Sus scrofa: one gene and its partners. The protein of the gene in region 1 purifies or fractionates together with the protein of each later gene. This does not show direct contact. Links are inferred from orthologs where the notes say so. Each region holds a gene or a part of one and is shown on either strand. Other genes may lie near its edges.

The links. The genes of interacting proteins can lie anywhere in the genome.
Region 2: the proteins of NXF1 (region 1) and SRSF7 purify together in Homo sapiens (affinity purification with western blotting; 3 studies listed by BioGRID and IntAct, with this or other methods). This does not show direct contact. The link is inferred for Sus scrofa from reciprocal best matches to the Homo sapiens genes NXF1 and SRSF7.
Region 3: the proteins of NXF1 (region 1) and NXT2 purify together in Homo sapiens (co-immunoprecipitation; 5 studies listed by BioGRID and IntAct, counting the BioPlex papers as one, with this or other methods). This does not show direct contact. The link is inferred for Sus scrofa from reciprocal best matches to the Homo sapiens genes NXF1 and NXT2.

Annotation. Positions count from the first base shown.
Region 1 is NC_010444.4:8,968,237-8,973,322, forward strand, and holds the start of NXF1 (nuclear RNA export factor 1), read left to right. Parts: upstream 1-1,831; coding exon 1,832-1,859; intron 1,860-4,884; coding exon 4,885-5,068; intron 5,069-5,086.
Region 2 is NC_010445.4:101,597,559-101,602,426, forward strand, and holds the start of SRSF7 (serine/arginine-rich splicing factor 7), read left to right. Parts: upstream 1-1,870; 5' UTR 1,871-4,868.
Region 3 is NC_010461.5:89,682,811-89,687,730, forward strand, and holds the start of NXT2 (NTF2-related export protein 2), read left to right. Parts: upstream 1-1,922; 5' UTR 1,923-1,976; coding exon 1,977-2,074; intron 2,075-2,663; exon of another isoform or gene 2,664-2,935; intron 2,936-3,057; coding exon 3,058-3,142; intron 3,143-3,231; exon of another isoform or gene 3,232-3,246; coding exon of another isoform or gene 3,247-3,396; intron 3,397-4,132; coding exon 4,133-4,219; intron 4,220-4,920. UniProt on the Homo sapiens protein: Regulator of protein export for NES-containing proteins. Also plays a role in mRNA nuclear export.

The sequences.
Region 1 (5,086 bases):
TAAACCCTCCCCAGCCTTTCTCAACTCTGGCAGCAAGGGGAGATGATGCCCTTCCCCACCTTCCTGAGAGTGAGGAGAGGAAGTGAAACTTCCCCAGGGACCAACTTTCCCATCTGGGTTAAAATTTACCTCTTCCTCTCTTCACCATGTGAGGCAAGGGGCCCTGAGCCCTTTGGCTGCCTACACAACCCCAACTCTGGCTGCAGATGACTCTCAATCTGCCAAATGTGCTGCGGCCCGTTTCCTCCCAATTACAACAAGACTGTCAGCCTCACTAGCCATGTCGTCATTTCGGGGTGGGAGCGTCGAAGGGCCTTGGCAGCAAGTGGAGTGAGCCCACTGCCCAGCATCATAACTAAAAGGGTTGGGCTGATGGCCCTGACGGGCCAGGCTCACTCACTCTGTGCACACAGCTGCCTCCCGCAGGGGGTTTCCAGGTGTAGCAGCACTTAGTTAGCATGGAAACTTCCCTTCAGAGGCCCGTAACAGGATCCCAGCCTGGGTCCCTGATTGACGGCAACTTCCAGGACCATCTCCAGAAGTATTTGGACCTGTCTCATCTGCATGCTCCAACCATTTGGCCCCAAACTTACTTGCGCTGGATGAAGTAGGAGCCCTGCCTGCTGCTAGGAGTGAAGGTGACATGAAGAATCCGTTCCCAGCTCCAGCTGAGGCTCTTGGTCCCCTTGAAGCCCCTCACCACATCCAAGCCAGTCAGAAGAATGAAGGAGTGACCTGCCTGGAACACCCACCCTCCAGGGAGGTTAATATGCTTTCTAGTCCTGACCAGGACCCAGAACCACATCATCCTGCATCACTGGAGTTCCCCCACTTCACACACCCGAAAGGAAGCTCAAGCTGTAGAGACAACAGTCACTATACACTGTGCTGGCCCCAGTACTTTGAGGGGTCCAGGAGAGCCCAGGTCTTTCCTAGCCATGGCATTTTAATATTTCCTCTCCCTTTGGCCTGTGTTCAGCGTGTGGTCAGGCTGGCCTCCTCACTGCCCAGTTGACACAAGACGTGGGTTTAGCATAGCACATCCCGGTGGGTTGGTGGGTGGGTTGGTTTGTGAAGACAGCCAAAGCCTGGCAAATGCCGTTTTTCTCTCCTTTGATTGCAACTCTCTCGGAGGGAATGCATAGATCAGTAGTTATTTCACAAATATATGTTGGGTTCCTGCTGCGTGCGTGCTAAGTATGGTATCCAGTCAGGTGCCGGAGAGAAAAAGCCGTGAATTAATCAAGCCCCTGCTCTCTAGGAGTTTACCGTTAGTTTTCTATTTCATTTTATAGGCGAGGAGACCGAGGCCTAGATCTGCAAGTGTCAAAGGGCTGAGCTGAGACTTGCCCTGGCTGGATCCTTCTAGGTGTCTATGTGCGGTCACTCCCGCTCCTAAGGGCCTGGTCTCCCACTCCTCGGAAGCCCTTCCTGTAGCCCCTCTTCCCTGTTCCTCTCGGAATCCTGGGCTGCAGTAGCCACCTCTCCGCTTCACCGCTGACCCTGGAGGTGCTCCAGCAGAGAGCTACTAGCGGCGGGGTGGATGAAAGCAGGGGGCCGGCGAACCCGCGGTAACTCGGCTTCCCAAGCTCAGGTCCTGGGCGGGGCGTGCAACGCCAAGTCCCGCCCCCGGCTAGTCCGCTCGTCGAATGCGCACGCGCGTCTCCCAGTGGTTCCGCCCATCACCGTGGGACGTCGGCTGCGCGCGACGCGCTGGCCGCATAAATGCGGCGGCATCCGGCGTAGGAGCACTTCAGCCGGGAGAGCCTGGGCGTTCGGACGTTTGCCGGTGTCGCGGGCCGCGACAGAGCCCGCCCCTGCTCGCTGCGCCATGGCGGACGAAGGGAAGTCATACAACGGTCAGTGCTGGCCCTTGGGTCGGGGAGCCGGTCGATCTTGGGCCCTGCTGGGCTGCGCCAGCCTAGGCCGCAGCGCCGGGGCGTGAGGCCGCGAGGGGCCCGGCGTCCACGGGGAACGGCGGTGGCGCGGCGCGGGCCCGGGGCGAGGCAGCCCGGGGGCCTGGGTGAGCTTGAGGGTTGGGTGCCGGGGTTGTTGACGCTGGGATCCTCCCTTTGCGGGCCCCTGCGACTCGGAGAGGTGGCTCAGTGGTGGGGTGATGAGATTCCTTTGAACTTTGTGGGTGGTTGATGCCTGTCAGTTCAATTTGGCGGCCAAACTGTTTAATGTGAGTCAGTGCCCTTCTCCTGGGCTGATGTGCCCTATTTTCTACCGCGCGTCCAGGCGATTTTGCCCCCTCCCCCACCTAACGCGTCTGTCGCTTAGGCTTAATATTTTAGATCTGCACATCAACTCGATGTTCTGGTCCAAACACTACACTGAGTTTTAGTCCAGAGCGGTGGTTAGGAGCCGAGGTTTCAATCCCGAGTTGGCTATGCCAAGCTTGAGTAACTTACACCCTCAGACTTCGTTTTCCATCTCCTTAATGAGGATAGAAACAGTACCAGCCTTCTGAGTTTGTCTCCGTGTGTGTGTGTGTTAAAACGAGATCATTCATGTCAGGTGCCTGGAGCATAGTGCCTGACACTGGAGAAGAGTGCTCAGTGAATGTTAGCAACGACTTGTGTGCATTTATTACTTTTTTCCTAGGGTAACTTCTTGAGAAACTCATATTTTTAGTTTTTTAAGGAACCTCCATACTCTTTCCCGTAGTGGCTGCACCAGTTTTCATTCCTACCAACAGCGTAGGAGGGTTGCCTTTTCTCCACATCCTCTCCAGCATTTGTTTTTGTGGACTTTTTAATGTTGGCCATTCTGATTGGTGTGAAGTGCTACCTTATTGTGGCTTTGATTTGCATTTCTCTAATAATTAGTGATGTTGAGCATCTTTTCATGTGCCTGTAGGCCATCTGTATCGTGGGTCTTTTTTTTTTTTTCTTTCTTTCTTTTTTTTGCTTTTTAGGGCCCCAGCCGAGGCATATGAAAGTTCCCACGCTAGGGGTCCAATCAGAGATGTAACTGCTGGCCTACACCACAGCCACAGCAACGCCGGATCCTTAACCCACCGAACTAGGCCAGGGGCTGAATCCGCATCCTCATGGATCCTAGTTGGGTCCGTTAACCACTGAGCCACGCAGGGAACTCCTTCATGGGTCTTTTTTAAGAAGCGCTTCCTACACACCAGGGTTCAGAGGATCATATTCTTGGAGAGGACCCTTGGTGAAGCATCCTAACTGCCACTGGAACCTGAATTCAGGAGTTGTCTCCTTAGTTAAAAGCCTTTTCTGACCAAGAAAACAAAGAGCTCACTCCCAAACGTTCAGAGTGGCAGTTTGAGAATAAGACTTTTAAAAGAAGCCCTTAAATTGGTCCTATCTGTGTGTGGTGTTTGTATTGTATGGGCAAAAGGAGAGCTGTTTCCCCGAAAGCTAGTGTAATCATGAGGACGGATTTGCCACCTGTGAGAGGGGTCACCTCGGGGTTAAGTAGATTTGGGTGGGCCCACAGAAAGCGGATGTCGGGTGACTTTTGAGGGGTTCGAATTGTGTCCAGTTACTCTGGGTCACTCACACTTCACATTCACTTGAGAGTGGCAGTTGGAGAGCAAGATTTTTTTTTTTTTAAATCTTTTTAAATTGAGGAAGGTTGATTTACAATGTAATGTTGGTTTCAGGTGTACAGCATAGTCATTCCTGTATTTATAGATTACACTCCATTAAAAGTTATTGGAAAATAATCGTTGTCATTCCCTGTGCCGTACAACAGATCCTTGTGGCTTATCTCTCTTATACTTAGTAGTTTGTATCTCTTAATCCCATATCTTGCCTTATCTTGCCCCTCCCCCTCATAACCACTAGTTTGTTGCCTGTATCTGTGAGTCTGTTTCTGTTTTGCTGTATACATTTTATTTTTTTAAATTCCACCTGCAGGTAATGTCACATAGTATTTGTCCTTTTCCCTCTGGCTTATTTCACTAAACGTAATACCCTGCAAGTTCATTCATGTTGCAACTATGGCAAGATTTCATTCTTTTTGATGGCTGAATAGTATTCCGTTATGTGTGTGTGTATGCACCACATCTTTATCCATTAGTCTCTTGGTGAACACTAGGATCGCTTCCATAGCTTGGCTACTGTAAATAGTGCTACCGTGAACATGAATCTTTTTGCATTATATATTTCTTTCTAGATGTATATCTAGGGGTGAAATTGCTGGTGGTCATATGGTAGTTCTATTTTTAGTCTTTTGAGAGGAGAACAAGACTTTAGAAGATGCTTGTGGAGTTCCCTGGTGGTTCAGCAGGTCGAGGATCTGATGCTGTCACTGCTGCAGCATGGGTTTGAGCCCTGCCCTGGGAACTTCTGTATGCCTTGTGGGTGCAGCCAAAAAAAAAAAAAAAAAGGTCTTAAATTGGTCATATTTGTAACTGACATTTGTGCTCTATAGGCAAGAGTCCTGTTTACCAGAGCTGATGTAATCATTGAGATTGGTTTTTCCCCTTGTGATTGGTTTTCCTTTGTGATTGGTTTCCCAAGATATAATCACTGACCACATTTCCAGTGGAGTTAAGTAGACTTGGGCACTTGAGAGCAGGCAGTTTTCAGGTGACCTGACCGAGTGTGAGTTGTGTCCAGTTACTGCTCGGGACACTCGCACTTCCACATTCTGCTTCTCCTTTGTAGTTCCAGTTTCTGCTTCATTTTTCTAAAGCCTTATACACAGTTTTCCAGGGATGTTTCCCTTTTGCTGCCATCCCACGGAGAAGGTTCTTTCCCTGGCCAGGCAGAGGAGTTTGCCAGGAGGTGGGCTCTGTCGTGATTGTGTGTCTCCTGTCTGGTAGTGCAGGGTGCTGGATACTGGGATCGCCCAGTAGGGGAGCTGAACCAGGGATGTATTTTCTAATTTGTGTCCCGTTTCCAACCCCAGAGCACGATGATCGAGTTAGTTTCCCTCAAAGAAGGAAGAAAGGCCGAGGCCCTTTCCGGTGGAAGTGTGGCGAGGGGAACCGGCGCTCTGCAAGGGGAGGTTCTAGCATTCGGTCTTCCCGCCTTGAGGAAGATGACAGAGATGTGGCAGTGAGCGACGCCCAGGATGTTCCCCGACTACGATAGTGAGTAACCAGTTTGTC
Region 2 (4,868 bases), on another chromosome or scaffold:
GGATCGGAGCCTCGTCTGCAACCTACAGCACAGCTCATGGCAACGCGAGATCCTTAACACACTGAGCAAGGCCAAGGATCGAACCCACAACCTCATGGTTCCTAGTCGGATTCATTAACCACTGAGCCACAGCAGGAACTCCTGTATTCTGATTCTTAACCCACTGCTCCACAGCAGGAACTCCTCACATTCTCATTAGTGTAAGTGCCAATTTCACTGCACTCCTGACAAAAATAGCATGTTGTTGTAATTTGCATTTTTAGTAAGGATAGACATTTCTTTTTTGCTCTTCTTATTTTTTTTCTATATTTTTTACTGGGTAAAGTCATACTTTGTTCCTTACTATAGATTCTAGACTCTTGAATTTGGAAAACTAGATTAAAAAAAAAATTAGGGGAGTTCCCGTCGTGGCGCAGTGGTTAACGAATCCGACTAGGAACCATGAGGTTGCGGGTTCGGTCCCTGCCCTTGCTCAGTGGGTTAACGATCCGGCGTTGCCGTGAGCTGTGGTGTAGGTTGCAGACGAGGCTCGGATCCCTGCGTTGCTGTGGCTCTGGTGTAGGCCGGCGGCTACAGCTCTGATTCGACCCCTAGCCTGGGAACCTCCATATGCCGAGGGAGCGGCCCAAGAAATAGCAACAACAGCAACAACAAAAAAGACAAAAGACAAAAAGACAAAAAAAAAAAATTAGGGAATGGAGGGGACAAACTTTTTTCAATCAAGAAAACACACGACGGAGAGGAGTTTCCATTGTGGCTCAGGAGTTAAGAACCCAACATAGTGTTAAGGATGTGGTGTTGCCGCAAGTTTCAGCATGGGCCGCAGATGCAGCTCAGATCCTGCATTGCTGTGGCTGTAGTGTAGGCCAGCAGCTGCAGCTCCAATTCCACCCTTAGCCTGGGAAGTTCCACACGCCACAGGTACAGACTTAAAAAGAACAAAAAAGAAAAGACAAGACATGAGGGAGGGATAAATTAGGAGTGTGGGATTAACATATACACACTACTATATATAAAATAGATAATCAACAACGACCTACTGTATAGCACAGGGATAGCTACTCAATATTCTGTAATAACCTATATGGGAAAAGAATCTGAAAAAGAATGAATATATGTATATGTATAACAGAATCACTTTGCCATACATCTAAAACTAACACAACATTGTAAATCAACAATACTCCAATATAAAATTAAAATTAAATAAAAAAGAAAAACACATGGGATTAAAAAAATGATTCCTAGCATCCTTTCCTTAAAAAAGAGGAGTAGGGAGAAGCATTTTAACAGAAAAAAATGACATTATTACAGAAGAAAAGATTTTTTCCCAAGAAAGAATGATTGGCAATAGTTTATATTTTTCTGAGACTGGAGAGATTTTCATCAATGCTCAAACTGACAGTCCTTGCAGCAGGATTTGGGAACCACTGCACTCATCATGCAGCAATTCTTAGTCTCCTTTGAAAAATGAGATGGTCAGACTAGTGATCTAAAAACTTCTTCCTGGAGTTCCTACTGTGGTGCAGTGGGTTAAGAATCTGACTGCAGCAGTTTGGGTCACTGTGAAGGTGCGGGTTTAACCCTCAGTCTGTTGCAGTGGATTAAGGAGCCAGTGTTGCTGCAGCTGTGGTGTAGGTTGCTGTGGCTCGGATTCAATCCCTGGCTCCTGGGAACTTCCATATCCCATGAGTGTGGCCATTAAAAATTAAAATAAAAATGAATAATTCCTCCTCTGAATTTCAAGCCATTTCTTTCATATGCAGTCTAAACATAACTATCTGAGAGTTGTAGTGTATGTTTCCATTTGCCATAGGTTTTGAAGTAGATTTCATTCTTTTGTTTTTTTTTTTTTTTTTTTTGTAGGGCCATAGGGGAGGCACATGACAGTTCCCAGGCTTGGGGTTGAATCAGAGCTGTAGCTGCTGGCCTACACCACATCTGCAGCAACGCCAGATCTGAGCCCCATCCTTAATCCACTGAGAGGGGCCAAGGATCCAACCTGCATCCTCATGAATACTAGTTGGGTTTGTTTCTGCTGAGCCCAAACAGTAACTCCATCATTCACTTTTTTAAAAAAGGTGTACCTATTCTTATAGAAATTAGCTTCCAAGTCTAAACTTTGTAATAAAAAGTGACAATTTCCATACTGCTCATGAAAACACATCTCCCCATTCTATAGGCAAATACTTTTGCATAGAACCCTTAAGAAAGTTTCAGAATTTGATTTTGGGGTTCGTGGAAATTTACTTTTCATGAAGACAATTTCTAAGTATTTGCATGTTACATGTGCCAGAATATTTTCCTCTATGTGGATTGGGTCAAAAAAGAAAAGTGGCAATTTCCCATACTGAAATCACTGAGTAAAGAGACAAAGATATCTCAGGCATGTCCAAAGCTGATCACAACCATGTTCCAGAGTCTAGTCCTCAGCTTTGCAGAAACTTTAATTTTGTCAAGTGCCCAACTCATATCAAATTTTTAGCAACTGCAAAGGTTAATCAAACTGCTGCTGCTCCTTCTCCTCCTATTACTAACAGCTAACATTTATTGAACACTCTGTGTGTGCTAGACAGTATGCAATGTTACATACTTGGTTTAACTCATCCAATACTAACATCTGAGACAAGGTACTATTATTAAATCACATTTTGCAGATGAGCAAGCTGAAGTACCAGGAGATTCAAAACTTGGTTAAAAGTAGTCAGCTCTTTAATAGTGGAGCCAAGCTTCAAACCCCACTCTGTCACACTCCGTGACACTTACACTCTTCGTCATTACACTACACCATCTCTCCTAAAAAAAGATTTTTGAACTAAAATTATTTTTTTATTTTTTACTAAAGTATGGTTGATTTGTGCCAATTTCAACTGTACAGGAAAGTGACTTAGTCAGTATATACATACGCACATACATATATACATTCTTTTTTTAAATATTATTTTCCATCATGGTCTGAACCAGAAGATCGGATATAGCTCCCTGTGCTATGCAGTAGGACCTTATTGTTTATCTATTTTAAATGTAATAGTTTGCATTTACTAACCCCAAACTCCCAGTCCACCCCACTTCTTTCCCCCTTGAACTAAAATTATGTCTGTTAATTTACAGTAGACGATATTAATTTTCAGGGACTAATAACTCAGTAGCAAAACATCAAACAAAGGAAAGTCAATGGTCTAAGTACAGCTGAGAGGTGGTTAATTAACATAGGTTTGCTCCTTCCAAGACAGTGCTAAGTGCTAAACTCTAAGCTAGTCTAGCTCTCTCTAATTAAGACATCAAGCTGACCAAGTCCCTTTCATTACTATTCTTCCTTTAGAGAAGAAACAACAAATTGATTAGTTTAGGGCTTGATGGCTTTACAGTTTCACACTTTTTAACACAGTCTTTTCTCAGAAAGCCTCACTCTTAAGTTGCTTTATACTCCCAAACCACCCATTTGGATTTCTATCATTGGGGCACTCTTGCATCGCATTTTTCCTCTTCTTAGTTTTACTCTTGGTCAAAGCCCTGTCATTCTTTAACAGTAGTTCCCCTCTCTCTCCTATATACTTCAGTACTGACTGCAGTCCAGTACTTGGCTAGTGAGAAGTTAATTTCTTTATACAATATAAAAGTAGTATAAACATGCCACTAAGAGTTTTTCCTTCCAGAATTTCTCAACCTTCTTGAGGGAACAGAAGATTATGAAATGTTGAAAAAAGAAAAGAAAGTTGTGGTTGAATACAGCTGTTCAGATTGACCTACAGCACAAACATACACAGTGCATACGGAAATACATCTTAAAAGATAAATGTTGGTAATACTTTTATAATATAAAGATGATTTTTAAATTAAAAACTGATACCTGTGCAAAAGCTCTAAACTTGTTTTTGTTCTAAAGTTTTCACACCTAAGCCAAAATGTTTGACAATGATTTAAAAATGAAACTAAGATGGAGAATAAAGTAAGATAAAAAGTGAATTTTTCTTTAATGTTTCTCCAGAAATACTGAACCTAGGAAAGGCAAATACGTTTTGAAAGCTGCAATGAAAGGATTAAGACATACCCCCCTTCATAAACTAATATTGTTGATATTTAATAACCATAACTTGAGAATTATTTAGTAGGTCATGTTAGGAAATACTAGAATATTCACTGAATCAAATTAAGTAACTTTCACATTCAAATTGAATCTGGGAATGTGATCTTAATTTAATATGAAATTTATGTAGGTGAAACTGATTTCAAAAGAATCAGCAGAAATAAAAACAACTCTTAAAAAAAAAAACTCCCTAATTTATATTGACATGTAATTGGTTACATGCTCTTAAAGAAAGTGTTCAGTACAACTGTACAAAAGCAGTATACAGTACTATTATTTTTTCACAGCAACCAGGTTAGCAAAGCTCAGCCTAGAATTGGCCTTCCTTTAATAGAAATAAATAATACTTAGCTAAAAAGACAGGCAAGCCAATCAGGGTTTTCCTTAAATGAGCTTGAAAGCAATTTGTTATAGGTTGGATAATTGCTTCTTTTCGTACTGTTTACATTATTATATTCTTAGAAATTCTCTTTTGTACAATAGACTTGTATTCAGAGTGAAAAAATATTTATTGAGGCCTATTAGGAGCTATGCATATAATAAGTACTCTCAGTAAATTACCTATGTTTTGTCCAACAGTAATTGTCATTAAATTCTTTTTTTTGTCATTAAATTCTTAACAGAATAAAGTTTAATTAGTGAGGCTTTACAAAATTGATATTCTTTCTATATAAAGAATATAAAAAGATCTTTATTGTTTAATCCTTTCCAGAAGAATCTTGATAAGTAGATAAGGAAAAATCAATAAGGTGAAACAAACATAAACTGTACAGAACTTCTA
Region 3 (4,920 bases), on another chromosome or scaffold:
ATGGCTGTGGCTGGCAGGTGCAGCTCTAAGTGGACCCCTAGCCTAGGAAATTCCATATGCCACAAGTATGGCCCTAAAAAAAAAACCTAAACTCCCTGATGACTTTGGGGCAGGGCTTTTAAAGGCAACATGAGGGAGAGAGCAGCAATATGCCTGATCAGATCATGGACATTCTTCTGATTGGTTGGTGATGAGGCAACTGAGTGGTGTTTCAGGAATCAACATTTACAGCCTTTTGGTTTCAACTGGTCTGGAGTCTACATGCTGGTGGCTAGAGGTTAACTTCTTCCATCTGGTAGGGGTTTTAGTATCTTCTAAGCAGCTCAAGGATATGGCTCCAGATATTATTTATAGCCCTAAAGGAGGACCCAAAGGTCTTTAACTTTGTTTTTATGGCTAACCTCATGTATTGCTTGACTATTTTCCTTTGTTTGTATTTCTCTGATTAAATTTACTGTTTGGAACTCAGTGAAGGGCTAGGATGCTGAAGCTTTTCTACACACCAGAGGCAGGGGATGCAGGGTGTTCTGTCCCCAGGAAGGCCCCTCGAGTCCTACTCTATTCTTGTTATCAGTTTACCCACCCTCCCCTCCTTGTAGCACATCAATAAAAGTGTACAGAGTTTTGTGCAAATATTCAGTGCAAAACTCTAAGTCTTCCCTCCACTTCTATCTCAGTTGTCCCTTTTCAGTACTCACAATACTCCTTTAGTCCCCAGCATTATTGCCCCACACCAACAGGCATGCCCCGTAGCCAAAGGACAGGTCACATCCCTTAGGGTTCTGGCAACATGAAATGAGGGAAGGCTCCATGGAGGAGGCTGTACCTGTCCTCCTCCCTGAAGGGCAGTCGTAAATGAAGAGAATAAATATTCCAAAATAAGCATAGTGTAAGCAAATGCATGATAGCGGAGTATCTAAGAACAAAGATTTGGGGATAAACAGTTAGTTGCGAGTTAAAATCCTGGCTTCACTAGCTGTGTCATCTTGTCCAACTTAACCTCTTTGAACCTAAGTTTAAATTCTTATAAATTTAGATAATAATGTTTCTCTCTTTGGGTGTTGTGAGGATTGTATGAAATCATAATAAGGCCAGACACATTCTAAGCTCTCAAACTAAAAAAGCAGTCACCTATAAAGCAGTGAACACAAGTCATTTTCGGTAAACAGTAGTAGTTAACTTTGCCAGTGTTGGTGAATAATGGGAAAGAAGTCTGGAAAGATAAATTCAGACCAAACCAAGGTAAGTCTTTAAAGATTGGGAAAATTGAGGGGAAATGAGAATAGAGCAAAGTCAAAATGTGTGTATAGAGGAGAGAGAGAGAAAAAGAAAGAGAGAGAGAGAGAATTTCTTTAAAGAGTGGGAAGAATTGGATAAGTTACCTGGAACTCCTCTATAATTCATTTTTGTTTATCGTCTATCACTCCTATTACCTTGTGAGTTTCATGAGGGTATGGATCATGCCTGTTTTGTTCACCACTATATATCAAGAACCTTGTACAATGCCTGACCCACAGTACGTGTTCAGTAAATATTCGTTGAAATGAATAATGAATTATGACGATGGGATGGGGGGCAGGGGGATACCAAAGAAAAAAATTTCCAAGAATTCAAGCGTAGATGACTGAAATAATACAAAAGATTCTAAGTGCAGAGGAAATAATGCCTTTAAATTTGGACTCTGCAAGTTTGATAAACCTGTAGCGTATTTACGTCTTCATACTTAGCGAAACTACATACGTGGAATTGGAACTCAGAAAAGCGGCGGGAAGGAGGGGCTGGAGATGTGTTTTGAGGTTCGTCAGCATACAAGTATCAATCGAGATCACGTGGGAGGGAGGTTTTAAATGGGAGACGCCACCGGAAGTGACGCCAGTAAGAGGGGAGCAGAGGAGGCTGCATAGTGTACAGCGGGAAGTTCGCTGCAGTTGGAGCTAGGTGAAGAAAGGAGAGTGAGGGAAAAATCAGATAAAAGTATGAGGAAATTCAGAAGAGACTGGTTTCAGGGAGACAGAGAAAGACCCCATGGAAAGAGTGACCATTTTCATGAGGAGCCACATACCAGCCATTCATGGTAAGTCTGTGGCGATACCGGATCGATTTGACCACCCAGAAATTGTTGGGGGCTTTGAGATGAGCGGTTTTGGAGGATGCTGGGGCGTGTTGCAGGGGTAATTAAATTGCTTAAGCTTGAATCTCAACTAGTTTGTGACTGTAAGGGGGTTATGTAATCACTCTATGTCTTAACTATGTAACAGAAGTAGTTACCTCAGATCGTTATTGTAAGTGATTAAGTGAATGTGGGTTAAAATGCTTAGAAAAGTACCCTCCTCCCTGATAACCAGCCGGTAAAATTTTAGCTATTTTTAGGGAGTAGGTTGTGGAAAGTGTTTAATGGCTAGTTTACTAGAAACCAACCTTCATTTGAGGTCTGCAAGACACTTGAAAATGCAGCCCAGAATGAAGGGACTGAGCCTTTTCCAGTGAAATAGTGCCAAATCAAATAGTCAATAATTTTAGGAATAGTAAGGAGACATTGGCTTTTAATGCAGTGTGGATCGATTCTTCCAGAACATTCCAGAATGCTGAGCCGTTGTCTACCAGTCATGCGCAGTAGGTTTGCCCGCTTTTCCCCAAGCTCCACCCACTTTTCCTATTGGTTACAGATCTGGCCAGTGTCCTCACAATCCACATTGGCTTTTAGCTAGCACTGGCCCCGCCTCCTGAAGCAAAGAAGCCCCCACCATTGGACGCTTTAAGTAGATCTTTTATGCTGTCTCTAGGCGGGTTGGCGAAATGGATACTTTTGTTGAGATTGTACCTTAACAAAAACAAAGTGATTTTTTTTTCGAAACTAAGTTAATAAATATCAAACAAGTGAGCACATACGGCAGACAGGAGGGTACGGTCGGAACTGAAGAGACTTGGACTTAAGGTTGGTACATCGGGGTGCTTTTAACAACGGACCGAGCTACTTCCGGGGGAGAATGGGCGGGCAGAGAATTCTGTGCGTTTGGCGGGTTTCGCTTTCTTTCTAAGTATTTGACCCTCACGCAGCCGTGGGAGCCGGACACGAGAAGACGTAGTGACGCCGCCACTGCTGGAACAGGGTGCTTCGGGCTCCCCGATGGCTATGTCCGTGGTGAGTGCGGCGGCCGCGGCAGGGTGCCTGAGCGCGGGTGGCTGAGGGGCGGGGCTCTGGGGCGGGCTGTCTGCTGGTCACGTGGTAAAGCGGCGAATCTGGTCATGGCGCGCCAGGCGCCGGGGGCGGGGCCCGCTCTCTGCGGTCCCCCACCATCCTCGACCCCTGACCCTCCGTGCCCAGGGCTGTGCAGTCGCTTTGCGATCCAGGAAAGGACCCCGAGATGGGAGCTAGGTGGAGGCGGGAACGTTGGGGTCTGTTGCTTACGGCTTGTAATCTATTCTTTGCTGTTTGATTTTCTAAATAACTTTCAATTACCTGAGACAGAAACGGAACTGGTTCTTAATTCAAATAATAGGCTGGGCTGGTAAATGCCTGGGGAAGAAAGTACTTAATCTTCCTGCGGGAGAATACCACCACATTTCTTTTCTTCGGTTTTAAAGTTCTTTACAAACGCCGGTGAATTTTTATGTATTGTGAGGAAGTTTTCTAGGTATCTAGTAGTTCAAGCAGTTCCTTGAACTTGTTCAGTTTTTTTCCCCATTCAGCAACTTTTGAAAAACTTACCGCTTGAAAAGAGAACTCAACACTTCCTAACTTATCCAGTGGCAGTTCGCACCCCCCCACACACATTTTTTTTAAGTTTCAGACAGCATCATTTTTATTAAAGTGAATGCTTTGTAAAATGTTGGAAGCCTAAAGTGCCAGTTGCCAAGCAAAGATAATAGATTTATATTTAGACCGAGAAAAAGGTGAAATTCACTAATGAAGGACAAATATGCCCTAAAGATACATCCTTTAAAATAGTGCATTAAAAAAAAAATGGGAACTTGAGCCCTAATCTTTAAAATATCCAAATTTATATGGAAGAATGTGGGCTATATATGGAGCTACAAAATGAAATAAATCATCAACTTCTCTTGGTGATTTCGTGTTTGTGAGGGGGTTGGAGGAGTGGTAATGTACATTTTAATGAAGTTTTTCTTGTAGGATTTTAAAACTTATGTAGATCAGGCATGCAGAGCTGCTGAGGAATTTGTCAATATTTACTATGAGACAATGGATAAAAGAAGACGGGTAAGTGTTGTAAACTATTGTTTATTGAGTAACAGTTCTGTATTTTTTTTTTTTTTTGAGCCAGCCATTCCTCTGACTTGCCTAAGTGACAGCTGTGTTCTTTAAAAGTACATTAGTGTGGTATTATGGAAGTGTGGACTCTGGAATCATATCCCAGCTTTGTGTTTGCCTAGCTCTGTGACCTTGGGCAAGTTGCTAACCTCTCTTAACCTCATTCTATTTTTAGGGTGACAGTGAGAATTATTTAAATATTGCACTTAACATGGGATGCAGCATACGTTCACTTAAATATGTTGCATTTTCTTAGCCCCATCATTTAACCAATATGGTTAAGATAGTATTAGTGCTAGTACAGGGGTCTGCCATTACAGGGAATGTTCCCTAATTTGTCCCTTCAATTTCATATATTAATAGGTAATTTTTTTGTTAAAGCTCACAGCTATTGCTGGCACTCACAAATAGAATCCATGTGGTTTGGATACTTTTAGTCTTCAACAGAGCAAGTTCTCACTTCATCAACTTTTTTCGTTGTGACTTATCCCTGAGCCATATCTTCTAAGTAACTATTTCAGTGGTCTGGAGAGTCTTGCTTATGCCTCTTATCGGCCTAGGATTATGTTTTAGATAACTTTGTCTATGCTGCAGGTACATGAGTTACTATCTCTAAAAACTTATTTTTTAAGACAGATTAAAAAAGTTCG